7 linked regions of the Rattus norvegicus genome follow. The protein of the gene in region 2 binds, or shares a complex with, the protein of the main gene of each other region. Links are inferred from orthologs where the notes say so. Each region holds a gene or a part of one and is shown on either strand. Other genes may lie near its edges.

What was found.
Region 1: the proteins of Gnas (region 2) and Gpr21 are in contact, whole or in part, in a cryo-EM structure (PDB 8HMV), measured with the Homo sapiens proteins. The link is inferred for Rattus norvegicus from reciprocal best matches to the Homo sapiens genes GNAS and GPR21. Residues at the interface, in NP_000507.1 of Homo sapiens: Gln35, Arg38, His41, Val217, Pro321, Asp323, Arg342, Asp343, Leu346, Arg347, Thr350, Tyr358, Cys359, Pro361, Phe376, Cys379, Arg380, Asp381, Ile383, Gln384, Arg385, His387, Leu388, Gln390, Tyr391, Glu392, Leu393, Leu394; in NP_005285.1 of Homo sapiens: His61, His62, Thr64, Arg127, Ala130, Ile131, Thr132, Pro134, Leu135, Thr136, Tyr137, Asn138, Thr142, Pro143, Ile214, Ile217, Cys218, His221, Thr222, Asp224, Ile225, Arg228, Gln229, Arg231, Phe232, Arg249, Tyr250, Val253, Leu254, Asn308.
Region 3: the proteins of Gnas (region 2) and Hrh1 are in contact, whole or in part, in a cryo-EM structure (PDB 9LRB), measured with the Homo sapiens proteins. The link is inferred for Rattus norvegicus from reciprocal best matches to the Homo sapiens genes GNAS and HRH1. Residues at the interface, in NP_000507.1 of Homo sapiens: Gln35, Arg38, Ala39, His41, Lys216, Val217, Asn218, Phe376, Cys379, Arg380, Asp381, Ile383, Gln384, Arg385, His387, Leu388, Gln390, Tyr391, Glu392, Leu393, Leu394; in NP_000852.1 of Homo sapiens: Asp124, Arg125, Ser128, Val129, Gln130, Pro132, Leu133, Arg134, Leu136, Lys137, Arg139, Thr140, Ile213, Ala216, Val217, Gln219, His220, Cys221, His223, Lys412, Ala413, Gln416, Leu417, Cys471, Asn472.
Region 4: the proteins of Gnas (region 2) and Gpr6 are in contact, whole or in part, in a cryo-EM structure (PDB 8TYW), measured with the Homo sapiens proteins. The link is inferred for Rattus norvegicus from reciprocal best matches to the Homo sapiens genes GNAS and GPR6. Residues at the interface, in NP_000507.1 of Homo sapiens: Gln35, Arg38, His41, Val217, Phe219, Asp323, Asp343, Leu346, Ser349, Thr350, Arg356, Tyr358, Cys359, Phe376, Arg380, Asp381, Ile383, Gln384, Arg385, His387, Leu388, Gln390, Tyr391, Glu392, Leu393, Leu394; in NP_005275.1 of Homo sapiens: Met107, Asp165, Arg166, Ser169, Leu170, Ala173, Leu174, Thr175, Tyr176, Tyr177, Leu182, Ile248, Val252, Arg254, His255, Ala256, Gln258, Ile259, Leu261, Gln262, Gln263, His264, Lys276, Gly277, Thr280, Leu281, Arg332, Asn333, Gln334, Glu335.
Region 5: the proteins of Gnas (region 2) and Fzd6 are in contact, whole or in part, in a cryo-EM structure (PDB 8JHB), measured with the Homo sapiens proteins. The link is inferred for Rattus norvegicus from reciprocal best matches to the Homo sapiens genes GNAS and FZD6. Residues at the interface, in NP_000507.1 of Homo sapiens: Gln384, Leu388, Gln390, Tyr391, Glu392, Leu393, Leu394; in NP_001158087.1 of Homo sapiens: Arg226, Ala310, Lys314, Ser316, Cys317, Val396, Gln407, Lys409, Leu410, Phe413.
Region 6: the proteins of Gnas (region 2) and Calcr are in contact, whole or in part, in a cryo-EM structure (PDB 7TYY), measured with the Homo sapiens proteins. The link is inferred for Rattus norvegicus from reciprocal best matches to the Homo sapiens genes GNAS and CALCR. Residues at the interface, in NP_000507.1 of Homo sapiens: Lys34, Gln35, Arg38, Ala39, His41, Val217, Phe219, Tyr358, Phe376, Cys379, Arg380, Asp381, Ile383, Gln384, Arg385, His387, Leu388, Gln390, Tyr391, Glu392, Leu393, Leu394; in NP_001158210.1 of Homo sapiens: Arg180, His184, Glu240, Tyr243, Leu244, Leu247, Ile248, Val249, Val250, Ala251, Val252, Phe253, Glu255, Lys256, Ile319, Val322, Leu323, Lys326, Met327, Glu329, Thr330, Lys340, Lys343, Ala344, Ile347, Leu348, Leu351, Tyr391, Asn395, Asn396.
Region 7: the proteins of Gnas (region 2) and Tacr1 are in contact, whole or in part, in a cryo-EM structure (PDB 7RMH), measured with the Homo sapiens proteins. The link is inferred for Rattus norvegicus from reciprocal best matches to the Homo sapiens genes GNAS and TACR1. Residues at the interface, in NP_000507.1 of Homo sapiens: Arg38, His41, Val217, Phe219, Tyr358, Phe376, Cys379, Arg380, Ile383, Gln384, Arg385, His387, Leu388, Gln390, Tyr391, Glu392, Leu393, Leu394; in NP_001049.1 of Homo sapiens: Met63, Thr67, Asn68, Asp129, Arg130, Ala133, Ile134, Ile135, Pro137, Leu138, Gln139, Pro140, Arg141, Leu223, Gln239, Ala242, Lys243, Val246, Met249, Leu308, Asn309, Phe312.

The regions. Positions count from the first base shown.
Region 1 is NC_086021.1:41,683,738-41,687,871, reverse strand, and holds the start of Gpr21 (probable G-protein coupled receptor 21), read right to left. Parts: upstream 2,801-4,134; 5' UTR 2,727-2,800; intron 2,381-2,726; 5' UTR 2,004-2,380; coding exon 954-2,003; 3' UTR 1-953. UniProt on the Homo sapiens protein: Orphan receptor.
Region 2 is NC_086021.1:183,501,821-183,506,042, forward strand, and holds the start of Gnas (GNAS), read left to right. Parts: upstream 1-1,422; 5' UTR 1,423-1,425; coding exon 1,426-3,814; intron 3,815-4,025; coding exon of another isoform or gene 4,026-4,222. UniProt on the Homo sapiens protein: Guanine nucleotide-binding proteins (G proteins) function as transducers in numerous signaling pathways controlled by G protein-coupled receptors (GPCRs).
Region 3 is NC_086022.1:149,200,511-149,204,767, reverse strand, and holds the end of Hrh1 (histamine H1 receptor), read right to left. Parts: intron 3,265-4,257; 5' UTR 3,230-3,264; coding exon 1,769-3,229; 3' UTR 501-1,768; downstream 1-500. UniProt on the Homo sapiens protein: G-protein-coupled receptor for histamine, a biogenic amine that functions as an immune modulator and a neurotransmitter.
Region 4 is NC_086038.1:46,072,452-46,076,544, forward strand, and holds Gpr6 (G-protein coupled receptor 6), read right to left. Parts: upstream 2,801-4,093; 5' UTR 2,671-2,800; intron 2,136-2,670; 5' UTR 2,117-2,135; coding exon 1,025-2,116; 3' UTR 29-1,024; downstream 1-28. UniProt on the Homo sapiens protein: Orphan receptor with constitutive G(s) signaling activity that activate cyclic AMP. Promotes neurite outgrowth and blocks myelin inhibition in neurons.
Region 5 is NC_086025.1:71,938,558-71,942,772, reverse strand, and holds the start of Fzd6 (frizzled-6 precursor), read right to left. Parts: upstream 2,801-4,215; 5' UTR 2,661-2,800; exon of another isoform or gene 2,567-2,660; intron 2,476-2,566; exon of another isoform or gene 1,940-2,475; 5' UTR 1,780-1,939; coding exon 1,603-1,779; intron 1-1,602. UniProt on the Homo sapiens protein: Receptor for Wnt proteins.
Region 6 is NC_086022.1:32,615,455-32,618,075, forward strand, and holds the end of Calcr (calcitonin receptor isoform 1a precursor), read right to left. Parts: intron 2,438-2,621; coding exon 2,189-2,437; 3' UTR 501-2,188; downstream 1-500. UniProt on the Homo sapiens protein: G protein-coupled receptor activated by ligand peptides amylin (IAPP), calcitonin (CT/CALCA) and calcitonin gene-related peptide type 1 (CGRP1/CALCA).
Region 7 is NC_086022.1:116,569,117-116,572,616, reverse strand, and holds part of Tacr1 (substance-P receptor), read right to left. Parts: intron 964-3,500; coding exon 769-963; intron 1-768. UniProt on the Homo sapiens protein: This is a receptor for the tachykinin neuropeptide substance P. It is probably associated with G proteins that activate a phosphatidylinositol-calcium second messenger system.

The sequences.
Region 1 (4,134 bases), about 140 Mb from region 2:
GGCTGTGATAGTAGCTGACTCTTTAGAAGGCAGACAAGTTTACACTGACCCTGGGCTGACTGCATCAGCGAACTCGGTTTTCCTTGAAGACTTTGGATAAGAACAGAAAACACTACAGTCACTTTAAAAAAATGTTTTCACATTACAATTGGGCAGCTATCCATCTATTATTTATTTAGATTAAATATTTTGTCATTAAAAACCCAGCTCAGTGTATAGATTCTCAGTATTCACAGACAGAAGCCCTGGAAGAGCACTGTCACTGCTGCACACGCATTCACAATGCTCAGAAACACGGGGGGAAAGCACCTGGATCTCACTGCGTGACTTCACTGCACAATTGCTCCATTTCAAAACTCTACAGAACAATGTCCAATGCTCTCATTATTTATCCTATGGAGATTTCTCTCAAGAGGCAAGAAAACGAAACATTTCACTGTCTAAATGAATGTTGAAACTTGCAGTACAGTTATATTTTGGCACAGATAAAGAAAATCCTTGCTAGTTCATCAATATATTTTAATATTTCCTGTTAGAATTGCATATAAATTGCAACTTGCATGAAATAATCCATAAAGGGGCAACAAAATGTTTTTTGTTTTTTGTTTTTGTTTTTTTTTAAACATGCTGACTCTTTTTACATCCAGATTCAGGCATGCCAAAGGGGAGAGAGAGGTATCAACTATGGCTTTACTCTTTTTGAATCTTAGAACTATAGTCACTTCCATGACATTTCAAAGACTGGATCAAGATTGATTTTTTTCCATCATCCTGATTCTTCTAATTTTAAATCTCATTTAGAAAACAACTTCTGCAAACTATGAAGGTTCTCCGGACAGTTTGTAGCTGCTCCTACATCTCCAGTGAACTGGGAGCACAGAGATGGAAGGAAAAAGTGAACCAAAGCCATCCTCTCTCCTTGAAAACAGAGAGACTGAATATATGAGTCCCCCTCAGATATGAGATCCATTAAGGGGTCCTTTGCTCCTAACTGTGTAAGGGTCCTTGGCTGTGGTGTGACTTGCACAAGAAGTACACACAGACTCTGAAAGGCCCTTTAGTCCTTGTTGGAAAACACTGTTGGAGAGACTGTAAATGATACAGTTGCAGAAACTGTTACTAATAGCAAGCCAGGTAGTCAGGAAGGAGGCAAGACGGCTGCTGCAGCCAGTAGAACTCTCCAGCAAGAAGTAGATGATGTACGGCAACCAGAGGACATAAAACACACTGGTGATTCGGAATAGGACCATGGCATAGCGCTTATCTGGACAGGTTTGGGCTTCCCCAGTCTCCCCATTCTGGCTGCTGAATCGGGCTTGCCTTTCGCTGATTTCTTTTGTGTGCTGCTGGCAGATTCGGAAGATGTTGAAATACGTGAAGCAGACAATGAGGGCAGCTGGGGCGTACAGCGTCATCACGATGAACAATGTGAAGTAGGAGTTGGTGTGCCAGGACTCTGCACACCACCGAAATACATCTCCATGATATCCGGGTTTACCCCAGTGAAAGAAGGAAGGCAGGAAGACCAGGGTAGAATACAGCCAAATCAGAAAAATACAGAGGCGTAGTCTCCAGGGAGTAACCAGGGTATTATAGGTTAAAGGTTTAGTGATGGCAATATATCTATCAATGCTGATACAGGCCAGAGAAGCCATAGAGATGCTCTTCAGAACTGACACTATGAAACCAAATACTTGGCAAGTCATGGCCTCCTCCATCGGAAGAGGGTAGTAGAGGAGTGATAAGGAAGGGACCAGGCAGCTTACCCCAACCAAGAGGTCAGCATATGCCATTGTCTGGATAAAATAACTTGTAGAATGATGGTTCAACAGAGGTGCACAGTGAAACACAAAAATCACAATGATGTTGCCAGAAATAATCAATACAGTTAGAAAGACAACGATCAGCACTTCCAAAAGACAGAACCTGACAGTTTCCAAGTAGCCCAGTGCCAGAAGACAGAAAGGATGGCTGCTCTGATTACCATCCCAGGTGGAGTTCATCTCGTGCTCAGGAACTGGCTCTCACTTCATGCTACCACCTGGCTGCTGTTCCCAGGAGTAGCTACTGTCCCTGCAGTCAGCTTTGCATCCCTGTGACAAAGCCAGGAGCCCTAGTCACCAGGTTCCTGGGGTTGCTGCTGTGCTGGGTATACTGCCTGCTGTACAATTCCCCTTTAAATTCTTCCTGGAATAGGGAGAGACAACAGCAGTTGTCTGGCCAGTCCCAGACGCATCCACACTGCCAGGTTGACCATACACATAGCAAGGAAGTAAGGCAAACTGGGGACTGTGTCTTCGGGCAAACGAGGGTGGGGGAGGGGCAGAGGGAGGAAGATTAGGAGCTTCAGCAGGAGTTGTAATGAGTCTCCTCTGAACAGCTGATAGAAGAAAATGAAAGAGCATTTTACATTTTGCATTCCACAACCTAGACAAAGAACCTAGCTAGCTCTGACTGCCAGCACCCCTCCCACTTTACCCTAAGCAGTCCCCTCCATAAAGGGGATTTCCAAGATTAACATAAAGAAATTACAGACCCAACCTCATTTTCTTTTATTTAACCTGTTGTAGGAGAATCTCCTTATGGTAATCCTGAAAACATTTGGCTATATTATCACTGAAAAAAATTAACCAAGATTAATTTTCTTCACTAATTCCAATGTACTACTTTATCTCTGCAAACACCTTAATATAATTTATCTGCTTAGCTCAATTTCAGAATGTTACCTGTGATTCTGCAGGCTGAAATCCAAACAAAAGCCACAATACATCCTTATCAGAAAGCCTTGCAATGCAGGAATGTGCTTGCTTAAAGCCTGCCTACTGCAGAACTAAGGCACAGAGGGAGGGGTTAAAGAAGTAGGAGGAGAAAGCACAGAGAAGGGGCTTAGGAAAAGGACGAAAGGGGGTAGGGAAGGAAAACCTGTGTGCCCAAGCACATACACTCTAGCATCTTGGACAGCTCATTAGCATTCATTCCCAGAGAGGAGCGTTCCCGACTGCACAGTGGTACTGACTTGGTGTGCCTGCAGTGCAGTATTTGAAAGCTGCTTGTCAGTCTAGAATCTTCCTCGTAGGTAAATGAGCAGAATTCAGATTGCCATTAAGAAAAATGGGCAGAGGTGGGGATGGAGAGGGAGGAAGAAAAGGAGGGGATGGGAAGAGAGGGAGGAGTCAGGCTTTGGGCTGAAGCACAGTACCAGAGGAGAGAGAGGGAAAGTCCTATTTTTGTGTACCATTTCCCCAAGAACAAAGAACAGTGTTCTACAAAGTAAGCTTGTTAACAGTACATGACAACCGAGGAATTATAATTCAGCTGTACAAGAAGTTACAGCTGAAACACAATATTCGGCCTCAATTTTCTTTGATCATTTATTGGACATTGGATAATATTAGGAAATGGTGCTGTTTTGCCTCTCCCTCAGTTCAGTCAGGCGCTCCACCTGAGTGGAGTGACAACCTGAGGCAGCACACAGGTATTCAGGTACAAGTCTTTGCATCTTATAGTGCAATCTTGTCTCTACTTACCTAAAATAATGCAAATTGAAATAACACTAATTTTTTTTTGGATAATGTCATAAATGGTGCTTTTTAATAACTGGGTACTGTGGGAATGATATAATTTTGCCTGAATAAAGTCTCACTCCCTCAGTAGAGTAAAAGAAAACAAATGCTGGCAACCGTAATAATCCCAGGAGATCTACATACTTGAACAAAGCACTATGTGATCCAACTTGAATTTTTATTTATTTATTTTATACATGCTTTCCTACTGTGGGCAAAGGATGCTTACAATCACAGTTCAGTGAAGCATGAACACTTTACTTCAGGAAAGTAAGGATCCCAGAAACATGTTCAAGGAGACTAGTAACAGTATGTGACAGACCAAAGCAGAGAACAGCAGCACAGAAGGGACAGCCTCCTGGCTCAGAGCTTTTTGTATTTAAATCACTGTCACTCACAGATAAATTAAGGTGACTCCTGTTCCTCCCCCTCCCAGTGCCTTTGCACACTAAATTACTAGCAGGAGGCATGCTGAGGACTCTGCCTCTGAGTACTTTTACACAGTACAGCAGTCTCCTGATTTCCAATGGCATACTCCATTACCTTAGCGCAGCTGTAGTCTGAAAACACA
Region 2 (4,222 bases):
GGGTCTGGAGAAGGGCTATCTATATAGAGGAACCGGACACGGAATCGGCAGCTGGCACTGGTGGCTGGAAGACGGGAGTCCCTGCAGCCGTTGCCACCACAGCACGGTTGGTTGGTGGGTTAAGGGCATAATCGGGTTTTCTAGTCTTTAAGACCACCCTAAATGGGCCATCAACCACACCCCAAATCTCCTTTGGCCCTTACCCAGAACACAGAAGTGCGAGCCCTGAGCTAGGGGGTCTTTCGGTAAGCCCCGGGTCCCCTCCCCTGTCTGCACGAACGCGGCAACCATGAGTACCGCCTAAGGGGGCTTTGCTTGATTTTCCGCAGTGCACTACCGAGACCTTTATTCATACTGCGTCACCACCCACATAAACAGAGCGAGCCCTGACTGCGTCACATTAGGCCACTCTAGGTGTAATGGGGATGGGGGACATTGACAGTATTTGCCGAGCCATCCCCGACAAACAGCAAACGTAAACATCAAAAAGAGAAAAAAAAACTACCCGGAGCATTTAAATAACAAATTGCGTGTTTACATTCCGCACTTCCTCACCCCCCCTCCCCTTCCGGTGGGCTCACGACCACCTGTCGCATTTTATAGTGCTTGCCTCTACCCCCTTTCCTTGTATCCTAAAGCCTCCTTTTCCTGGCTTGGAGATGAATATGGATAATTGGCCTGAGTGTAGGGTCTTTAGATAAAAGATTCGCCGCATACTAGGGTAATCTGGGGTGATAAAGCCCTCCTGCAGTCCCTCCTCCCGTCCAGAAGAATCAGATGGGGAGGGAGGCTTTCAGCTCCTGTACTCTAACAGGCCAATGCCCACGTCTTGCGTCACGTGTCCCAGCAACGCAAGAGAGCTCGCGCTCTCTCTGGCTAGAGAAAAAGCGAGGAAGAGAGACTCGGAATCAGTCCGGGAGAGAAGAGGACGGAGCTGAACGTCCCTACGAGGCCTCCGCTCATCCGCCCCCTTACCCAAAGTCGGGAGCAGCTGGCACCCGGAGCCAGCTCCCAGAGCCGGCTCAGCACTGAGACCGGCGTCCTCTGGCGGCAGAGAAAGAGTTCTACTTACGATTTTCGAGACGAATCGGCACGCTCTTGGATGCCAAGAAGGCGGAGCTAAAGTAGACCAAAGTAAGAAGAGAGCACAAAAAAGTTCCTAAAGTTGCTGGCCGACCACAGCCCGAAGGGGTAAAGGTAACTTGGAAGGTGCCAGACCTCGCCAGCAAGAGATGACTCGCTTCAGCCATGGCCATGGGTTCTAGTCCCGGATCACCGATCCTTACGAAGGTTGGAAACTGAGGCTGGAGAACTTTCCAGCCAAAACTTGAATTTTTTTAAAAAATATATTTTTTTTCACCCTAGTTTGGCTGGGTGCTCCGTCTTACGGGGCCCCAAATTTATTTTGAAAGCCGCCACCGTGTTATGGGCATGCTCAACTGCCTCCACGGCAATAATATGTCAGGACAACACGATATCCCCCCTGAAGTCGGGGACCAGCCCGAGCAAGAACCTTTGGAAGCCCAAGGGGCCGCTGCCCCCGGTGCTGGGGTTGGCCCAGCCGAAGAAATGGAGACCGAACCGTCTAACAATGAGCCCATCCCCGACGAGACTGACAGTGAGGTCTGTGGACCCCCTGAAGACTCCAAATCTGACATCCAGAGCCCCAGTCAGGCCTTCGAGGAAGTCCAAGTGGGCGGAGACTACAGCCCACCTCCAGAGGAAGCCATGCCATTCGAGATCCAACAGCCCAGCCTGGGAGATTTCTGGCCCACCCTGGAGCAGCCTGGACCATCTGGGACCCCATCAGGCATCAAAGCCTTCAACCCAGCGATTTTGGAGCCCGGGACCCCCACTGGTGCACACCCAGGCCTGGGAGCCTATAGCCCCCCACCAGAAGAAGCTATGCCATTTGAGTTCAATGAGCCTGCCCAGGAAGACCGTTGCCAGCCTCCCTTGCAAGTCCCAGACCTTGCGCCAGGGGGTCCGGAAGCATGGGTCTCCAGAGCTCTTCCCGCGGAGCCCGGGAACCTCGGATTTGAAAACACTGGCTTCCGAGAAGACTACAGCCCTCCACCTGAAGAATCTGTGCCATTTCAGCTCGATGGAGAAGAATTCGGGGGCGATAGCCCACCCCCAGGACTCCCGCGAGTCACGCCACAAATCGGCATTGGCGGCGAGTTCCCGACAGTCGCGGTCCCGAGTACGCTCTGCCTCGCTCCCGCCGCGAACGCGCCTCCCCTCTGGGTCCAGGGCGCCATTGGCAGACCATTCCGCGAGGCTGTCAGATCTCCTAACTTCGCATACGACATTTCCCCAATGGAGATCACCAGACCCCTGCTTGAGATTGGCAGAGCCTCCACTGGGGTCGACGACGACACCGCTGTCAATATGGACAGCCCCCCAATCGCAAGTGATGGCCCGCCCATCGAAGTCTCGGGAGCCCCAGTTAAGAGCGAGCACGCAAAGAGACCCCCACTTGAGCGACAAGCAGCCGAGACAGGAAACAGCCCTATCAGCAGCACCACTGCAGAGGAGGCAAAAGTCCCCTCCCTCGAGCGAGGAGAAGGATCCCCCACCCAACCTGAAACAGTGCATATCAAGCCAGCTCCTGTTGCGGAGTCCGGAACGGACTCTTCCAAAGCCGATCCGGACTCAGCTACACACGCAGTTCTTCAGATCGGTCCTGAGGAAGTCGGAGGAGTCCCAACCATGCCCACCGATCTTCCGCCTGCTTCTGAAGATGCGGGCCCAGATGTCCGGGCAGAACCAGACGGAGGGACAGCCCCAGCCACCCCTGCCGAGTCCGAAGACAACAGAGAACCAGCCGCCGCCGCCGCCGCCGAGCCAGCCGCCGAGCCAGCCGCTGAGCCAGCCGCCGAGCCAGCCGCCGAGCCAGCCGCCGAGCCAGCTGCCGAGGCAGTCCCTGACACCGAAGCCGAGTCTGCCTCCGGGGCAGTCCCCGACACCCAAGAGGAGCCCGCAGCCGCGGCAGCCTCTGCCACGCCGGCGGAGCCTGCCGCCCGGGCAGCCCCCGTCACCCCTACGGAGCCCGCTACCCGGGCTGTCCCTTCTGCCAGAGCCCATCCAGCCGCCGGGGCTGTCCCTGGAGCCTCAGCGATGTCAGCCGCTGCTAGGGCAGCCGCCGCTAGAGCAGCCTATGCAGGTCCTCTGGTCTGGGGAGCCAGGTCACTCTCGGCTACTCCAGCCGCTCGGGCATCCCTCCCTGCCCGCGCAGCAGCTGCCGCCCGAGCAGCCTCTGCTGCCCGCGCAGTCGCTGCCGGCCGGTCAGCCTCTGCCGCCCCAAGCAGGGCCCATCTTAGACCCCCCAGCCCGGAGATCCAGGTTGCTGACCCGCCTACTCCGCGGCCTGCTCCGCGGCCGAGTGCCTGGCCTGACAAATACGAACGTGGCCGAAGCTGCTGCAGGTATGAGGCTGCGTCCGGCATCTGCGAGATCGAGTCCTCCAGCGATGAGTCGGAAGAAGGGGCCACTGGCTGCTTCCAGTGGCTTCTGCGGCGAAACCGCCGCCCTGGCCAGCCCCGGAGCCACACAGTCGGGAGCAACCCGGTCCGCAACTTCTTCGCCCGAGCCTTCGGAAGCTGCTTCGGTCTATCTGAGTGTACCCGATCACGATCCCTCAGCCCCGGGAAGGCCAAGGATCCTATGGAAGAGAGGCGCAAACAGATGCGCAAAGAAGCCATGGAGATGCGAGAGCAGAAGCGCGCAGATAAGAAACGCAGCAAGCTCATCGACAAGCAACTGGAGGAGGAGAAGATGGACTACATGTGTACACACCGCCTGCTGCTTCTAGGTAATGCCGCAGCTTCTGCCCCTGGGCAGTAGGGCCACCCCGGGCACCCGGGGAGGGGGTGGTAGGGCCTTCCGGTGGGGCTTGGGCCTTGCCCGTGGGAGGAGGGGTCTGGATACCCTGTTAGAAGTTCCAGGGAGGGACCCCAACTCTGCCCTGGGGTGGGAAAGGGGCCTTTTGGAGTGTTCGGGTGGCCGAACTGTATGCCCTCCAGGGAGAAAAGTGGTGCCGAGCGACACTGAGGGTCGTTACCGGCCGGAGGCCAGCGCCAGCGCCAGCGATCCTAGGCTGGACAGGCGGGGGCGTGAGGTGAGCCCAGAACTGCTGGGGTGGGCCCTTCGGGGCTCCCCCGGCTCGATTGTTCGTGACCGCGGTGGGCTAGGGCCATCGGGGTGCGCGCCCCCGCCTCGC
Region 3 (4,257 bases), on a different chromosome or scaffold from region 2:
TAGGAGGTGGGAACTTAACCTGGGTCCTCTATATGATTAGGCAATGTTCGTAACCACCAAGCCATCACTCCAGCCTCCAATGTTTTATTTTTAGGTTGATGTGAAAGCACTCCTGTGTAAGCGTTGGAAACTCTGAGCACTGTCACAGGGCATTGTGTGTTCCTTAGCTGACGTTTATTCACTTCTTGTCCTTGTCATACCCAAGTCAAAGCTCCTTTCTCAGCATAACCCTAAGACACCCCCACCCCCAAAGCTTGAGCATGAAGAGTGTCCCAGGATGCAAGAAGGAGTAAGACAACACTTAGAACCACCACCAGGGGCAGCAGCTGAGGGCTGGCCATGGCTGTCTTGCTCCCCACCAAGTTCTAGAAAAACAAAAGTCCTATTAAAGGACATTTATAAATTTGAGTCGAAATCAGACAGAAATCCTTGTCAGGCTTTCGTTTCCACCTGTTCCCCCAGCCTATGAGACTCAGAAAAGTAGACACAAAGCAGCCATATAACAGTACCTTCCAAATGTTGTCGTGTTTTAGGTAAGCAAAAATATCTCATTTGGACAGGTCATGCAAACAGGAACACAGACACAAAAGGCCAGCTTTTACAGGGGTTCCTACTTGCAACACTCATTGATGTTCAACATTACATTTTAAAATATAAATCACAACTCGATTCTGTCATAAATAAAACTGGACGTTCCCATGATTTCAACAGAATTCGTTCAGCATGTGTGACCAGAAACCACACAGTCTCATAGAGAAAAGCACATTTGTCCCTTCCGAGGGTCACCCTCTGTGGACAGGTGTGCTCCATGCCCGTTACTCGGGACACTGTCACTTCTCTTGGGGAACACTGTGAGTACATGGCAGGGGACATTTCTTCCCTTTTGGAGAAGTGATGAACTGAGGCCATACAAAGTTCTCATCCCGAGTTTCTGACGTGAGTATCAAATGATTCCAGGAACCTCTTTTCCTTTGTCACGCCAGGGGCCTAGAGTGAGAGCCCCCTGGTGGAGTCTTAAAGAAATAAGGCTGTCTTGCCTTTCCTTTGCTTAAAATAGAACCATTCAAAAGTCTCTTCCTCCTCCTCTTGACATTTGAGGACAGTTTTTGTTACTGTGTTGTTGTTGTTGCTGCCGCCATTTTAAAAGCCCAAAAGAACTAAGAGTTGAAAATGATGGACTCACAAGCTGCCTAATTTCCTAGAAACTCTGAGACACGGGTAAGGCAAGTTCCATGGTGGGGCACATAGCTCTGGACAATGCTGTAAGAGAGGCTCGGCTCGGAAGGACTGCATTTTGAGAAGTGTGGCTGCAATGAAACAGCTGCCAGGCCTCTCCAGGTAACCCCTGGAAGGGGACAGCATCGGTGTGCATGTCTCTGCAGTCACACAGCTTTTGTTCGGGAAGTCTGAGTCCAGGCTAACCCTCCAGAAGAACTATAGCCACACATTCCCACTTCAGTTACCAAGAAACTTAAGTCAGAGAGTTTGACTTCCACGGAGTATCTGAGACTCCCACAGTCCCTGAGGGCCAGGCATGCTCTGCCTGGGTCTCCTTCAGATGCTCTGCATTCTACCCAGAGCACAATCGCTCTGCTGCCTGCTTTCCTTCTGACAGCTCCTGGGAATGCCTCCAGACTGCTCAGCCCAGGACCTTAGATTCCACTTCCTAATGCTCAGGGGTCTAGTGACACCCATGCTTTCTTCCTCTGGTTCCCTCTTGGACATCAGACGTTGTCTATCCACTATGTGGCATCCTTTTGGTATGCCCTTAGGAACGAATGTGCAGAATCTTTTTGAATGTCTTCTTGAAGTTCTCGTTGCACAGGGGGTAGATGAGGGGGTTCAGCGTGGAGTTGATGTAGCCCAGCCAAATGGTGAACATATGCACGGGTTCACTGCAGCAGCTCTTGCAGAAGGCAATGACCATGAAGAAGATGAAATAGGGAATCCAGCAGAGAATGAAGGCCGCCATGATAAAACCCAACTGCTTGGCTGCCTTCCGCTCTCGGTTCAAGTGCAGCCCGGACACATACTGTCTGGAGTGTGAGCGGAGCCTCTTCCAGGTGATTTTGATGTAATCCAGGCCACTGTTAGACCCGCTTCTCGATTTGACTCTGCCCGGCCCTGGCTCTATGCTTGTGTCTGAGTCTGTGGTCCGGGAGAAGGACTGTTGATCCACCAAGGTCTGGTCCTCTGATGTCTCACTGATCCGCCGACAAGTATTCAGGCTCTGCTCATCCATTTTGGGCTGGCTCAAGGCCTGATCATTGGCCTTTGAGCCCCTGACATCTCCCTCAGCCATAGACTGTTTCTGCATGATGTCGAGACGGAAACAGGGACGTGTTTCCCTTTCCCCCTCTTGGCTGAAGACAGTTGGAGAGGTCATCTTGGGGTCTTCAGATGTTGACTTCTGATCCAGTCCTACACTGGGGTCTCTTGATGGCCTTTTCAGAACCCCCCAGGGAGACTCTCTCCCAGGTTTCTTGGCACCTTCCTTGGTATCGTCTGACCTCAGCTTGAGTTCTGAAAAGGAAGGGAGGGACCCGTTGGTGAGCTGGCGGTGCTGACAGTGTCGCCGCACAGCCTTGTAGATCTTCACATAGAACCACAGCATAAGCAAAGTGGGGAGGTAGAAGTTAATAATAGCAGTCATGATCTTGAACCAAGTGACATTGTAGAAGTCTGTCTCACACTTGTCTTCCCGAAGCTCTGGGGCTGGGGGCATGAAGTGATGCCAGCCAAGTATGGGTATAACCCACAGGAAGGAGAAGAACCAGGCCCCCAGGATGGTAGCGGAAGCCCGGGTCTTGGTTCGGTACCTCAGGTACCGGAGGGGTTGCTGGACGGAGCGGTAGCGATCAATACACAGGATGAAGACGCTAAAGATGGATGCTGTGCTGGCCACATAATCCATAGAAAGCCAAAAGAGGCAGAGGGGGCGGCCCAAGGACCACTTAGTCATGATGAGATAGAGGATGTTCATGGGCATGACGACTGCCCCTACAATCAGGTCTGCCACAGACAGGCTGACAATGTATAGGTTGCCCACGGTGTGTAGCTTGCGTTCACTGTGCACAGCGTACAGCACCAGCAGGTTGAGGCCCACTGTGACCAGGGAGATACTACTGAGAACCACCACCAGGGGCAGCAGCTGAGGGCTGGCCATGGCTGTCCTGTTCCCCTCACACATCTTGTCTTCGAAGGTAGAGGAGGTATTGGCAAAGCTCATTGGCACAAGGGCAGCCTCCAGTGATGGCTCCCTCCCTGGGAGAAAAGAAGACACAAGATCAAGGTCAGAGATCAAGATGATCAGAGGTCACCTAGGAACACCATGCTGGTCAGACTGGAGTAGAAGCTGCTGGGGGTGGTGGACACCCATCACACCATCAGGACCATGTATTCACTCATGCGTTCCTGCGGTCCTCACATTCTGCCAGGGACTAGTTGCTGGATTCCTGGCATTATTATGAATATCAGAGATTCCACTGTTGATAAACCAGAGGGGAAGAAAACCTCTGATCTTGTGGAGTTTAGATACCAGAGTTTAACCAAAACAGGGTGACTTATACAAGTCTTATTCCGAACATGTCTTGAACACTCTGAGAAATCTCATTATCTGGGACCTCTTTGATGGTTCTGGGACAAAACTGTGGCCAGAAAGAGGCTGTGGGGTTCAAAAGCACTCATTCTTCCCCTGTGGCAAAGATGCCAAGCTATGAAAATCACCCTTTCCCTCTACCGTACTCCTGAAAGGGAGTGAAGAAGGGGTGTTTGGAGTACGATGGTAGTTTGGACGTAGTTAGGAATGTCAAGAAAACCACAGAGGCTGCAGCTTAGGACTTTGTTGACACAGAGCTGCTGAAGGAACTCTGCAATCTTGCTCCTATAGTAGCGAAATGTGTTCTTTGCTTAAGCCACTGTCCAAGAATCGTTGTTGGAAGAGGCAGCTGTTGGAGGGAAGCAATTGGGAGGGAGCCGTAGGGGTGGGGCTGTTGGAGAGCACTTGGAAAGAAAGCCCTGTGCCCAGCTCGCACAGTGAGGCCAGAGGAATGCCTGCAGTTCCATGGAAGTGGAAAAGCCTTGGGGAACAATGTGAGCCGGCTGTGAGCCCAGAAAGAAATGGCCACACAGGGAGCTCAGTAAACTGCACTGGCCTGAGAAGGGCTGCTGCGATTCCAAGAAAGGAGGGGGAGACTTAGGGACAGGCTTGAAGGAATTCTAGGGACTTCTCAAGAAAAAGAGATGCCTCAGGGACCC
Region 4 (4,093 bases), on a different chromosome or scaffold from region 2:
TCCGAAGAAAGGACACTGGGACACACCTCAGTTACCCCATGAAGATCTGGGAATCCTGCTTTAGGAGAATTTTATTGGTTTTATTGGGCTCTGCACCTGGCTACCAGACCTGGGTAGCAACAGTCTGAATAAGCCATGTTGAGAAATCTTGGCATGTTTGTAAAGTTATGCTGGTAAGTTGTGGCTTCAGAGTTTACACCTGTGCCTATGTGACTTGAATTGTTTTGACCTCTGAAACATGTCTTCCCAACCCGGCCACCAAGAGAGCACATTAACTTGCACCAGTAACAGCCTTCCTTCTCGTGTTCTGGGGATGCCACGTGTGAATGTTACTTCCTCCATGACTCATGAATGTTACTGCCTCATCCCATGGTTTAGATCTGGTATTTCATGTGGCTCTCCCTGGGACAAGATGATAGATAGATGTGCAGTAGACTTTTAAAATAAACACACTCACAATTCAGATTCCAAACAATGCCACAATTTATCACATACCCAAGATCATACTTTTATAATGTGTTTATTTGTGTACAAAATATGTTGTAGTTTACTGATGCATGTGCAGCAAAATATTCTATCACATACAACAAAAATACATCTCTGACTCCCTTTCTCCTGCTCTTGGGGATGGCAACACTGTCTTGGCATTTCAGCAGCTAAAAATAAAGTGCTATTATTAAGCAGTATTGGAATGTCTTCACTTGACAAATGTGATGTACGATTGAGTATACAACCACATTTTGTTAGTTTTTTTCACAGAACGGGAAGCTCCAGGCCCTGAACACCTCCAGAAGATACAAATATTTGTATATATATGTACACGTGTATACACTGTATATGTAAAATGCCAACAAGCCTCTTTGTCTGAGTCAGTTTGTTGCGTTCACATCCAGTCCCTTTGCGGGGCAGTCAGACTCGCGCCGAACCACTGAGTCCTCAAGAGTTCATCAGCAGGCACCTAGAAGCTCACCAAAGGCCGGCATGTTGGATTTGTGATGTGGGTGAGGAGACACGGAGGAGCCCTTCAGACCTCACTGGGGGACCTGGAGCGGAAGGGCACTTTGGATTGGAAACAGCCACAGAACAGGAGCCACAAGGCACGCTGGATCTCCTGGTTGCGGAAGGCATAGATGATGGGATTGATCATGGAGTTATAGGTGGCAGGCAGCAGGGTGGCATAGGTGTAGATGGCCGGGTCCTCTTGGCTACCCACCACACAATAGATGGCGAAGGGCAGCCAGCTGGCCCCAAAAGTGCCTAGCACCACGGCCAAAGTTCCCACACCCTTTCTGGTGGCTGCTAAGTGTGGTGGTGCTAGGCAGTGCTGTTGCAAAGCGATCTGGTGGGCGTGGCGCCAGACCACCTGGCAGATGCGCACGTACAAGTGTAGCATGATGCCAAAGACCACAAAGAAGGAAGTGGAGAGCAACGCCACATGGCTGCGTGTCAGGGGGCGCACCACGCTGCAGGACGCGCGGTCAGCCAAGCAGTTCCAGCCTAGAACGGGCAGCAACCCCAACCCGAGGGACACTGTCCAGGTGGCTGCTAGCAAGAGGTGCACGCCCAACAGGGTCCGGCGCGAGTAGTAGGTGAGCGCGTTGTAAAGGGACAGGTAACGGTCCACTGTGATAGCGAGCAGGCTGCTGACTGAGGCGGCGAAGGACGCCACCAGGAAGCCCACCATGAGCAGGCTCACAGTCTCCGAGGGCACCACGTACTGGAACACGAAGTGTAGGATGAGGCCACAGCCCGCCAGCAGGTCAGCAGTGGCCAGACTACCCACGAGCACAAACATGGGCGTGCGCAGCGCGGGAGTGGATGCGATGAGCGCCACCACCAGCGCATTTTCGCCTGCGATCACAGTCCCCGACACGCACAGCAGCACATCCCAGGGATTCACTGCCGAAAGCAGAAGTCCTGAGGGTCCTGCGGGCAGCTGCGAAGACAGCTCCAGTGACCCGTTAGGTCCTCCGCCGCCTCCCAGCGCCGCGGATGCTGCCGGAGGTCCCCATTCGCTGGTGTCCGGTGTCCCTGCTGCTGTAGCCGCAGCTGCCGCTCCCTCGGCCGCTACTGCCACCACCTGGGACTCGTTGAGCGCGGCGGCGCTAGCGTTCATCGCCGCCAGATGCTGCTCCCTGTATAAAAGGGACCGCGGATTGTCAGGTGCTCTGTCCAAACTACCGAGGAACTTTCCCTGTTATAACTGCCTCACTCAAATCGCATATCTTACTTCAGGAGTATGCACGGAGCATAGTGGGGGAAGCAGGGATAAAGTGCGAACCCCAAATAAATAAGCACCTGTTGGTTGAATGAATGAATGAATGAATGAACGAAAGAGATGGGGCTTCTGAGCTTTGGCAGAGGCGCATAGATAGATCCCACTATGCACTACCGTACACAAGTATCCAAATATAAGAGTCAATCTCTTTGCAAGACTAAGCTGGGCACAGCCGCTGTCCGCGGTTCTGAAAGCCAAGTTTGGGATCTCAAGGAGCCAGAGACCCCAGGTCTTGAACTGGAAATTGAAAGACTAAGGGGGAAGTCTGCTAGGGTGCGGTGGTCAATTCTTGCTCCGATTCTCTGACTCCGGTATGGACTCTCTCTGGGATTGCCTTTTACCCTTTCGCCTTCCCCACATGCTCAAAGAACCCTTAGGAGCCCGCCGCTCACCTGAGGAGTCAGGGCTCCCGGGAGTCTCTGGTCATGCGCTCCGCGGCTGTGTGCCCTACGCGGTCCGAGCAGCTGCCTGCAGGAGGCTGCCCCGCGTCGAAGAGGAAAGTACTGGTCTCCTGTCCCTGAGCCACCGTCGCTGCGAGTGAGAGGCAGTGGCAGAGAAGGCAGGCTGCGAGCTGCGCGCCTGCCCGAGATTGACAGGCGGGGCCCGGTGACGTCAGGCTCTGGGTTCTGGTTCCAGTGGCTTACTCGCCACACCGGCCAGGCCAATCCTTCTTGGCGTCTCCCCACCCCTCACAGAAACATTTCAGAGAGATCCAGAAGGAAGGAGAAGCCAGAGTCTCCACCAGTCCAGATACCTCCAGGAATGGGATGGGGCTGAGAGGAGAGGGAGAGAGGATTGAAGAGAACTCCGAGGCTGGACAAAGGAGGGTGAGCTGGAAAAGGAAGGCGAGGGGTGAGTGAAAATAAGCCACACAGCAAAGGCCAGAGCCAAGGATCACTGAGGTGAAGAAGCCACGGAGAAGGGGTGGTTGGGACATCTGGAAGAAGAGAGAGAAAAGTTCTCTTTGTAAGAGTGTTTATAGCGTCTGTGCCGCTCGAGGGAAGAAACCTTGAGCTGAGAGAAGAGACAAGACAGAAGGAAGGGCAAGACCGGAAAACGGTTTCTTTTTTGAGAGATTTACCTGAGGAATCCTCTTGCAGAATACCTGAGCCCTCCCCTGCGGGTTTCACCACTGATATCTTCGCCTCTTGCTGCTGCCCTTGCAACTGCTCTTTGATTAAGACAAGGTCTGTGTCTTGTAAGAAAAAAACGGCAACAAAATGTGATTTACTTTCCTGGCAACAGACTTTGCCCTGTTAATTACTACCTTATAAAACAAATTATAGGACCGAAATAGTGATAACTCAGCTGCACCAGACTTCAACAGGCACGGGTTTTATTTTCAGCCCAGATAAATCGCCCTTTTAGCTCAAAGGTGTTTTGGTTTGTCAGTAAATTGCAAGATTTTGTCTCTTTCTTTTGTAACCGGACAGACTCTCCAACAGCTGTACTTGGGCCTAAAGCTAAAGCAGCTGACTCTGTAAAAGGCTCTAAAAGGAATGATTACACATTGCTATTACAGCTCTGGACCGGGGCCACTGCTGTGGCCTTCACACAGTACACGGTTTGGACAAAGTGAAATAAAGTGACACACATGGTAGGCGCTTCCTGCCTCCTCCCCAGCCAGTGCTTGGCTCCACTGTTACAGATAGCTCCAGGGATGCAGAGAGAGAGAGCGAGAGAGAGTGAGAGAAAGAGAGAGAGAGAGAGAGAGAGAGAGAGAGAGAGAGAGAGAGAGAGAGAGAGAGAGAGAGACTCAGCTGGCTCATAGTCTTGAGGGATGGGGGATGCCTGAATTGGCTACTTTAGACGGGA
Region 5 (4,215 bases), on a different chromosome or scaffold from region 2:
CTATTTTTCGGGGCTGGGATTGAACCCAGGACCTTGCGCTTCCTAGGCAAGCGCTCTACCACTGAGCCAAATCCCCAACCCCATGTGATGACTTTCTAAGGTCACTGTTAGAACTCAAGCCTAAAATGAACATAGCTACTACAGAGAGAGGAAACCAAATGAAAGTAAGATGCTTTACGAACACTTGCTTTAGTATATACTATAAAACATTATCATCACAGGCGACCAGACTGAACACTGTAATTATTGTCTGATGGTATCCACTATACACTCATGGTTCTAATTAATCAATGGAAGTCTCCCTGCACCCTTTGTTGAGTGTTCAAAAGAACGCTTTGCAGGGCTGAGGCTGTAGCTGAGTGGGCGAGACCTTGCTGTATTTGAGGGGCTCTGTGCCCTGCCACCTGATGGAAAAGAAGGGGGACTTTGCACTGGTTTGGAGAAACTACTGAAAGATTAAAACCCTACAACTTGTAAACCTTTTAAAATTATATCTTAGTATTTAAAAACTGCCCTACCCAGACAGGAGTCTACAAAGAGGTAGTCAGACAACTAACTCTTCGAGCAGACAATGGAAGGCCTTCAAAGCTGCAAGATCAAATGTGGTCAGTTTAAAAAAATCCATCTAGATTACACTTCTGGGGGTTTCATCTCTCAGAGACAATCTGAGGAAAAGCCTTGACTGGCTTCAGCCTGTCTAGAGAAAGATTACAAAACCTACACTCTTGTCTTCTTTCTTTTTCTCCTTCATGAAACTTATCAACCAAACAGATCTGTGAGGCAGGGCAGGTTCCTGTCTCCACAGGCAGCCCTTTCTTCCCACATCTCCCTGGGACATTTGCATATCTCTAATCCAGAGTCGCTGACTGAGGCACCTGAGGCAATCTTTAGTGTCACACTGCCCTTCCCCACAAGTGAGCTTTCTTTAACAAGTATCTTATATACAGAAAACATGCTTACACGCTATGCCTGAAAGTCATCTTTTAGTAAAACACCCTCTTTAGCACCAAAACATTCCAGTAATTTATTAACTTTGGGAAAACTAAGCCAAATAAATTTATAAGTACTTTGTATAAACATGCAAGTTTCTTCCATTTTAGCTCAAGCAATACAAACTATATGTTCAGTCAACCATTTAAAAATGCAGAATTTGGGCTGAGTGTGATAGTGCACACTTTTAATCCCAGCCCTCGGGAGGCAGAGGCAAGTGGATCTCAGTTTGAGTCCAGCCTGGTCTACAGAGTGAGTTCCTGGACAGCCAGAACTACACGGGAGAAACCTTACCTTGAAAAACCAAACAAATAAACATTGAAAATTTAAAAATTCAGAAATCACAGTCTTAGAGAAGCAATGACACAAATTCTGAAAAGCAAAACATTTTCATCTGTAACCATTCTTCATTATGAACTCAACCTTTTTTTTTTAAGCAAATTAACTAGCAGCCCAAATATTGTCAACGGGAGGGGGGCTTAATTAATTTTCAAAAGTACTTTTAAAAATATGATTGGGGGAAAAACTACGTTTAAAGATTAAAAGGTAATAGTTAAGAGAAAAACACTCCGTATAAACTAATTTTCAATATAGGCATGAAAATCCACTCACCTCCATTTCCACAGCAGCAATGCCCTGGTCATAATGACCCATCAGGTTAGGGAAAAACGTCATGTTGTAGGCCATTTTCATACATCTGGGAACAGTGATTGGCTCACAGGTGAAAAGGCTGTGCCCTCTTATGAGGGGCAGAAGAATGCAGGCCGACAGAAACGGGGACGCTTCCATCTTCCCCAGACTCCGATTACCACATGGCTTGGATTACTCTTATGCTCCTTTCCGCATCAAAAGATTCTCAAATTGGAGATAAAATGGACAAATTCCTCATTTCATTATTTTTACCATTTTGAAAGAAGCCGTTTCCTGAAAATGAGTTCTGGGACAACTGCTGTAAAAACAAACCCAAAGTGTGTCATCTGCAACATTTGTCACAAAATCAAATCCAAGTCAAATTTCATGCTGGGTAACTGGTGCTGGGGGGAAAAAAACTGTGGAAAATTCCATCCTAGAGAGACACTTCCACCCGCCCGAGTGCGGAATGTATCATTTTGCTAAGGAAGCCTCAATTCTAGGGAACTGCTGATGAAGGTTTAGAGGGTCTGAAACACTGGTTAAGAGAGGCATGGCATAAACAAGTTGGACTGGGAAAGGGGTGCGGTGGTTGGAAGAAAGGGGACTTAGGGGCCCCTTGGTCATCTCACCACATGGGAAACATGAGGACAAGTGGATTCCCTAAGACCCAGACAGAGTTCTTCAAGTTTAGCGCTCTCTACAATAGCAGTCTCCTGCGGATGTGCTTTTCCTGTTTTTCCGCCAAGGCGAATCAGCCTGCCAGGGTTGACCGAGGTCCCCTGGAAAGAGTGGGCCTGCTTGGTGACTCCTTTTCGATCGTTCTTCACCTCCAGCACCTTCCCCTTCAACGCGCTCATCCCGTGCCCTCCTGTACCCCGAATTCCACCCACGTAAACCTCCCACCGGCAGCTCCCCTGAACCCCGGGGTCCTGAGTCGGGGCACCTGTTCCAGGCCTGCAGCTGAGCGGCAGCGTCCCGGGCCTACGGGGACCCGGAGTCACTTCCCAGGAGTTGCGTGGGACTCCAAGGCGACGCACCTGCGGCTCGGGTCCCGGCCGCTGCCCGCCCGCCCCGTCGGGCCGGGGACGCCTCACCTCGGGCGGCGGGGGCGGTGGCGGCTGTCTCTGGCGTCGATCGGCCCCGCCACTTCAGACAGCCCCGGCGTGCCGGCAGCCGGGGGGCAGCGTCCGAGCTTCGACCGCCTCCGGGGCCGCACGGGGAGCGAGAGCTGGGCGATCCCGCGAGACTGCGCCGCCAGGTCGGGCGGGCAGGTTGGGGCTCGCGGCGGCGGGACCGGCCCTGTGCCCCGCCCAGCCCAGCCAGGCGTGGTGCGGGGGCGGACGAGCCCTCGCCTCCGTTCGCACAGCGGACCCAGGCGTCCGTCCTGGGCCTTAGGGAAAGCGCCCTGCAGAGCACACTCGGTTCTGGAAGCGAGGAGCCTTAGCCGCGGGGATCTGCTCTGTAGTGACTTGTCGCCGGGACAGGGGTTAGCGAGTAACTTCCTGAGCTCTTGGCGGAAAAGCCTATTAACTCCGAGAGTCTGGCCACCACCTTGAACGGCAGGTGCCAGTGGAATTCCAGCTTCGGCTGGTTCTGCAACTTTAGTGCTACAAAAGCCCCACAGAAAGTTAACTGCTTTAGTCAACGTGGTTTTGAGAACCAGCTCTGCCATCATCATTTCAGATAAATTACCTAAAAGGGGTGTGTAGATGCTTAGAGTCCTCAGTATGTAGACATGAGAAATGCATACGATAATGGTTACTAACTTTTGAGTCCTTTACATTCAATAATGCCTAATCCGTAGGACTCTGGTATGAGGTACAAACGAACTTACACCTTGGCACAGGAGAAATAAGTAACTTTTCTTCTTGTTCCTAACGGGTCTAGAACCCAGGTCCTTGTGCATCGTGGTGATAGCATGCTTAGTGTGTTAAGTTACAGTTCCATCCTGTAAAATAACTTTTAAATAGAGACTGTTATTAGCCGATTCTCTGTACTGCAGAAAAATATCACATGTCAGAACTTGGGACCCCAACAATAACCAGACAATATTTGACATCTGCAAACATCAAAATGAAGATGGATTTTGGAGAATTATCCCAGCTTTATCAAAAAGCTTAGGACCAGATGGTGGTCGTGGTAGTGCACACCGTCAATCCCAGCACTCAGGAGGCAGAAGCAGGCAGATCTCTGAGTTCCCAGACAGCCATGCTACAGAGAAAACCTGCCTTGAAAACAAAACTAAACTAAACTAGGACAACTGTAAAGGACCAGACCCTGCTAAAGACATTTTAATATTAATTGTCTTAATCTTCATACCATTAAAAGCTGGCCAGTGTATGTATTGAAGAATGCATTTCTATGTAAGATATTTCTATGTAGAAAATTAACCTTCATGGGAAGAATATTTCTCAGAAAAAAAATTAAGTTTCTATATAGAAGGAATATTTCTCAGCAGGGTGGAGTAGCACAGACCTGGAATTGCAGTACCTGGAAGGCCAAGGCAGAAGGATCTCAAATTCAAGACCAACCGAGATTTCAGAGCAAATTGAAGGTCAGCCTGGAGTACAAAGTGAGAGCCCTTGATCAAAA
Region 6 (2,621 bases), on a different chromosome or scaffold from region 2:
GGCCTTTGTGCATTTTAATGGTATTTAATTAGTTATCTTTAATTCAATCTTAATCTTTCTTTCAAATTATATTAGGAACTTGTAATAATTCCAATGACCTGAGGTAATGTTGGACAGATCAAGTCTGGCTCCAGAATAATGAAAACCAACACAGAACAAAATGATCTTCTATGTCCCTGTCCTGGATTTCTTTGCTAGAATCCCCAAAGGTATCTAATAACAGATGGACAGTTTGGGATGGTTTCATATCATCAAGGGTGTGAGAACTGTACCACCTCGTTAGATTGAAAGTGGTTACACTAATACAGATGAGGATATTGTATTCATGTAAGCCATCTCTAACCTAAGCTTTTAGCTCTTCCTCCCTCCCATAAGATGAACAAGATGGAGATGCTGGTAGCTCCTGGGTGAAATGAAGAAGGCGTGGAATGAGCAGAGACAAAAATGAATGAATGGAAGATGACAATGTATTTCTTTAGAAAAATATGCCAACAAACATCTTTGCCTTTTCAACATGCTTGTATTAATTTATACAAGTACACAGAAGAAGTGTTTCACACAATTTAGGTATTACATGCAATGCTATGATAAGTCAGTTTGATTTCATCAGCCCCTACTACAGAAGCACAATAACGTCTCAAACACTTCAGCAATACACTATCACATTTGTACCAGAGCTGCCTGAAATACACTGATTTCAATGTTTGTAAACAAAACATGGGAACATCACCACGTAACACTGTGATTGGAAAAAAAATCCTTCCTTTCAATTCTCCCATTTTGGTAAAGGAGACTCTCAGTATCCAAGGGCCACAGCTGCTAGCGAAATACAATTTTCTCTGGGTGCACCAAGTACGTAACCAGAACAAATCAAGTTACTTTTGTTTTTACGCAACTAAATCACCTCTGAAAGGCAGTGACACAAGATGACAAAGAGGAGATGAGATTTTTAAGGGTCTCAAGGATGCGTCTCATTCAGCATACAAATTAATAATGATAATTGATTGCAGTTGCAGATTCAGAAATTGGTAATGGTATTGGTTTATTTGTGGATCTTGGAAGATCTCATTCTGGGGAGTAAAGAGAGGCGTGGAAATATGGTACTGAGTTTTGGTGAGAAGCTTGTCTTTAATTTAAGATGAACTAATATGTGGTTAAACTCCAAGTCCTTACATTGTGGTTTGCTTTTTTCCCTCCTTGTTTTGCTAATAGAAGCAAACAAGAGGTCAACTAGAAACTGATTTGTAATTAGCCACACTGAGTCTTCCTGGAAAACACGGGATCTTGTCAAGCTTTGAAGCTGGGTGGAAGGCAGTTAATGGACTTGAATGGAGTCTTTTAATTACCAGTCGTAAACAAATCTATCCCTCACTGCTAAATAGCACCCAAGGGCAAGAGGTAATCTGCTTTATAAACCTTGGAATGATTTGCTTTATAAATCCTGTAGTTTAGGAAAGTGGAAAACTATCTTTAAAGAGTGTTCTCTTTGATGGAAAATTACATTTGAGGGGGGTCAGTTTTGTGAAAAATTTAGTGATAGGTTCTTGATGACCTCCCAATTTATAAATGTCAGTGACCAAAGCACACTCAACATTCAGATCAATTCTTTACAGTATTTGGGTCTGCCTGGTGACGTGGATCATGTTATAAAAGACACAGCATCTTCCAGAGGTCATGTTATTTGTGCAGTTGACATTGTATGGATGAAAAAATGTGCAATATAGGAATTGACTGAAATAAAAACATTAAAAACCAGATCCGTAGCCAAATACAGAAATAGTCTAATTCAAAGTCCAGTGTTAAAATTAAAAACATTGAGAGTGATTTTAGTTTCTCAAAGGTACAAATGGCTCAAGATTAACATGGAGCACCCTTATCTGAACTAGGTCAATTTAGTGGCAGTTTTGGATACCTTGTCTACATTCCTATGAACACTGTCATCTCAGTCCTAGATGAATAATGGAGTTCACAAGTTGCACTGAGAGCCTAGCCTGACTCCCAAAGCAATAGTACCAAGAATAACGTTCTTCAAATTCACTATGGACAAATTCACTTAATACATCTTCACAAATGATATGCTTAGCTCCTGGGAGGATGGGGATCACTTGAAACGCATGGTCTATCGTTCTCCCAGGAAATGAAGGCTCAGTGGATCACAATGTTGGGGGGTTGCTTCACATTCAAGCATTCAAGCGGATGAGTCTTGCTGGATGACATTCATGGGGATCATTTCAGTACCCTCTTCGCCTTCGTTGTTGCTGACTGGAGGATTCCTTGGTTCCTGATGGCAGATGTAAATGGGGAGGCCACCTGGTTCTGCAAAGGCTACAGCACGAGGAGCGCTAACCACTCGGTTGGTGGGGCGGCGGCGCCTACCCCAGCGATGGCTCCACTGGATCTTGAACTGCGCCCACTGACGCTTCAGGGTCACTTGCACCTGCAAGGGCAAAGAGAACTTGTTGCCAAAGACTATCGGCTGTGACCCAAACAAAACTTATGTACATAACGCTTGGGGCTCATCAGAGGCAAATGGACGTTACGCTGTAGATCTAATCCAAGAACTAAATTTATACTGTGGCTAAGAAATATACCTTCTTGGAATATCAATATGCCAATCAAGA
Region 7 (3,500 bases), on a different chromosome or scaffold from region 2:
AGGCCTGCTTGTATGTGTTCTGCAACCCCTAGACACTAAAAGGCCTCCCATGCTCGCATCTGATCGGGATGTCTCAGTTCTCACACCGTAAACTCCTAAACTCCGAAAGGGCTTCGGATTGACGCTTCCTTAGAGGCAGCTTATGAGCTAAGAGAGTCAAGGGCAGTGGCATTGTTTAGGAGGGAGAAAGGGGGCAGGGAGTAGAGCTGTGGTTTATAGGAAAGAGGGGTAGTCTATAACATACGTCCTAGGGTACCAGCTACCACGGGAGCAATAGCCACTTAGATTCCTTAGGAAATTGCAGACGGTGTGAGACACAAGCTGCAGAGGGATTGTACCAGAGGGGAGAGGAGCAGGCCACTGCTGAGAGAGACTGGAGTGGAGACATTCCCACCTCCCAGCATACTGTGCCTGGTACAGTGACATCACAGAAATGTAGATCCTAGCAGGGAAGTGTCTTACACAAAAGGCCCAAGAGAGATGGTGGAGCACCCAAGGGTCTGCTGCTCCAGAATCCTGGGATGCATCTGTAATGGCAACTAGGTCTTAACTATCCTTAATCGCCGTACTGGGGACGCCATCCCCCTAATAGTGGTAGATGTATCAACACCGTGTCAGAGAAGTGGATGTGAGGAAGTCAGGCAGACATGTGTGAAACCCTCACTGATGCAAGAATATAGAAGGAAAATGGGGAGAGGTCAGGACAAGGTTCTGCACAGCACCAAGCGGCTTCCGAGCCGATCACAAGACAGGCAAATCTCTACTCACGCTTTCTCATAAGTCCTGTTGGGATGCTCCGGCCACTCGATCATGCACACGACTCTGCTGGGCATGGTCTCTGTGGTGGAGTAGTAGCCTTGTGGAAAGGCCAGCAGGAGAGCCAGGACCCAGATGACAAAGATGACCACTTTGGTAGCCGTGGCTGAGAGCCGGGGCTGGAGAGGGTGGATGATGGCCATGTATCTGCAGTACAGAAGAAAGGACAGTGTTCTGTCAGTATGTGTCAGTGTTCTGTTACTATGTGCTTTTCCTGCCCGTAGGAATTCCCAGATGCCCACTGGTTTACAGTATTTGTGTTTGTCTATGTATAGAGGCCAGGAGCCAATCCCCAATGTTGTTTCCCAGAAACCATGTATAGTCTTTTGAGACGGTCTCTCTCTGAACCCTGGGGCTCACCAATTAGGCTATGCTAGCTGGCCATAGCTAAGCTACAGGAATCTGCCTGCCCCTGGCTGCACAATGCTAGGATTACAGGTGTGTACCCCCATGTTCCAACTTTTCCACATGAATTCTGGGGATCAAATTCAGGTCCTTTTCAGGGTGGGTTGGGGAGAGCCTGAGGGATGGCTCGGAGGTTAAGTTCTCATGCTCTACAACTATGGACACTGGAGTTCAGATTCTAGCACCTATGTAACAAGTTGGGTGTCTCCACAAATGCTTGTAACCCTCCGTCCCAGGGTATCAGATGGAGGATGGTCATTGGGGCTGGCTTCCACCCTGGCCAAGTTATGAGTTCTGGGTCCAGAAGAGACCTTGCCTCGCCCCAGTAGACTAACTCAGGTCCTCCTCCTTGCACAGGGGGGCACTCAGTGACTGAGCTCTTTCTCCTGCAGCCCCTCTTAATGATTATTTACAAGTATTTTCTGAACTATTTTTTTATATTTTTATCCTTAGACTATATGACTTATGATACTTAATACTAAAAAAATCATAAGGAATGTCAGATAGACTTTTAAAAATCGGGAACCTATTTAGCACCATTCTGAGAGGAATTTTCATTTATTGACATGCTTGTAGCACATATCCGATGGCCAAATACGTGTTTACACAAAATGAGAAAAATGACATGTAAGTACTTTCAACATCCAGAGATTTATCTTTGAGGCTAGAAAGATGGTTCGGTGGGTGAGAGCCCTTACTATTCTTCTAGATGACTTGAGTTTGGTTCTTAGGACCCCCACTGGATGGTGCAAAGCTGTCCATCACACCATTCTAGTTCCAGGGAACCTGACACCCTCTTCTGGCCTCTTTGGGCAACTGCATTTATATGTACAGACACTCTCGCATATACACATATATACACACAATTAAAGACAAAGAAAAAGAAGGAATTTTGCTCCACTTTCCCTCCTGATGAGAGACTGAACCCAGGACCTTGTTCTTGTCGGGCAATTGCTCTATACTGAGCGATATTCCCTAGCCTTCTCTTTTATGCCATTGCAATTAAGGGACGGCGTTGATAGGAATACAGCACTACAGGAGAGGTCTCAGTCTGCAAAGCACGGCATGATGGTGCCATGAGGTGCATGGCCTTGTGACCCTGCAGCTGTCTCAGCTTGTGGAGACGTGCAAATGCTTGCCTAGAGATTAAAAGGCCTGCTGCGTTTTCAGACGGTGCCCTTCGTTGACAGAGTGGGATTGCAGCTGGTTTAAGAGTTCTTACACAGCATTATAAAAGCTTAACGATGAGCTGGGTGGGTATTAAGAGCTCAGTTGGGAAGGCAGCATCAGCTACTACCTGGGCGATGGAGTGTGATTTCATGAGGAAACCTAGACACAGTGTAAAACACAAAACAGGGTTGGGGATTTAGCTCAGCGGTAGAGCGCTTGCCTAGCGGGCGCAAGGCCCTGGGTTTGATCCCCAGCTCCGGAAAAAAAAAAAACTAAATAAGTAATTTTGGGCTGGAGAGATGGCTCAGCGGTTAAGAGCACCCGACTGCTCTTCCAGAGGTCATGAGTTCAATTCCCAGCAACCACATGGTGGCTCACAACCATCTGTAAAGAGATCTGATGCCCTCTTCTGGTGTATCTGAAGACAGCTACAGTGTACTTATATATAATAAATAAATAAATCTTTAAAAAAAAAACAAAAAAACACAAAACTAAGAGGGATTGCACCAGAGGGGAGGGGAAAGGAGGGGGAGGAGAAGGGAGAGGAGGAGGGGGAGGAAAGAGAAGGGAAAGAGGGAGGGGGAGAGGGAGTTCATAGCTCTGCTCCACTAGTAACTTTTGAGAGCTTTTGGGATGGAGACATGGCCACCTTCTGTCATACACAGGTGCTGGGACCTGAACTCCAGGCCTCATAGTTGTAGAGCGTGAGACCTTAACACAGATGTTTACATTACAATTCACAACAGCACCAAACTTACAGTTCTGAAGTAGCAATAACAATGATGTTACGGTCGGGCTCACCACAGCCAGAGGAACTGTATCAAAGGGCCACAGCATTAGGAAGGTTGAGACCCGCTGCTGGCTTAGTCAGCCATTCTGGGGTCCCCTCACCCCTGTGGTCTAGATTAAAAGATGTCAGCCTGATAGGCTGTCCCCCTGTCCAAAGCTGTGCATAGCTTCTGAGAAGCCACAGAGATCTGAGATACAGAGAGCGGCAATCGGCACTTCACGTCCCACAGTGGTCCCACTTGTCCCTTTGAAAAGGTCTCTCCTGGTGTGTGTTTTTCTTACAGATTTTATTGATTCACTTATTTAAAAAATGCACTTTC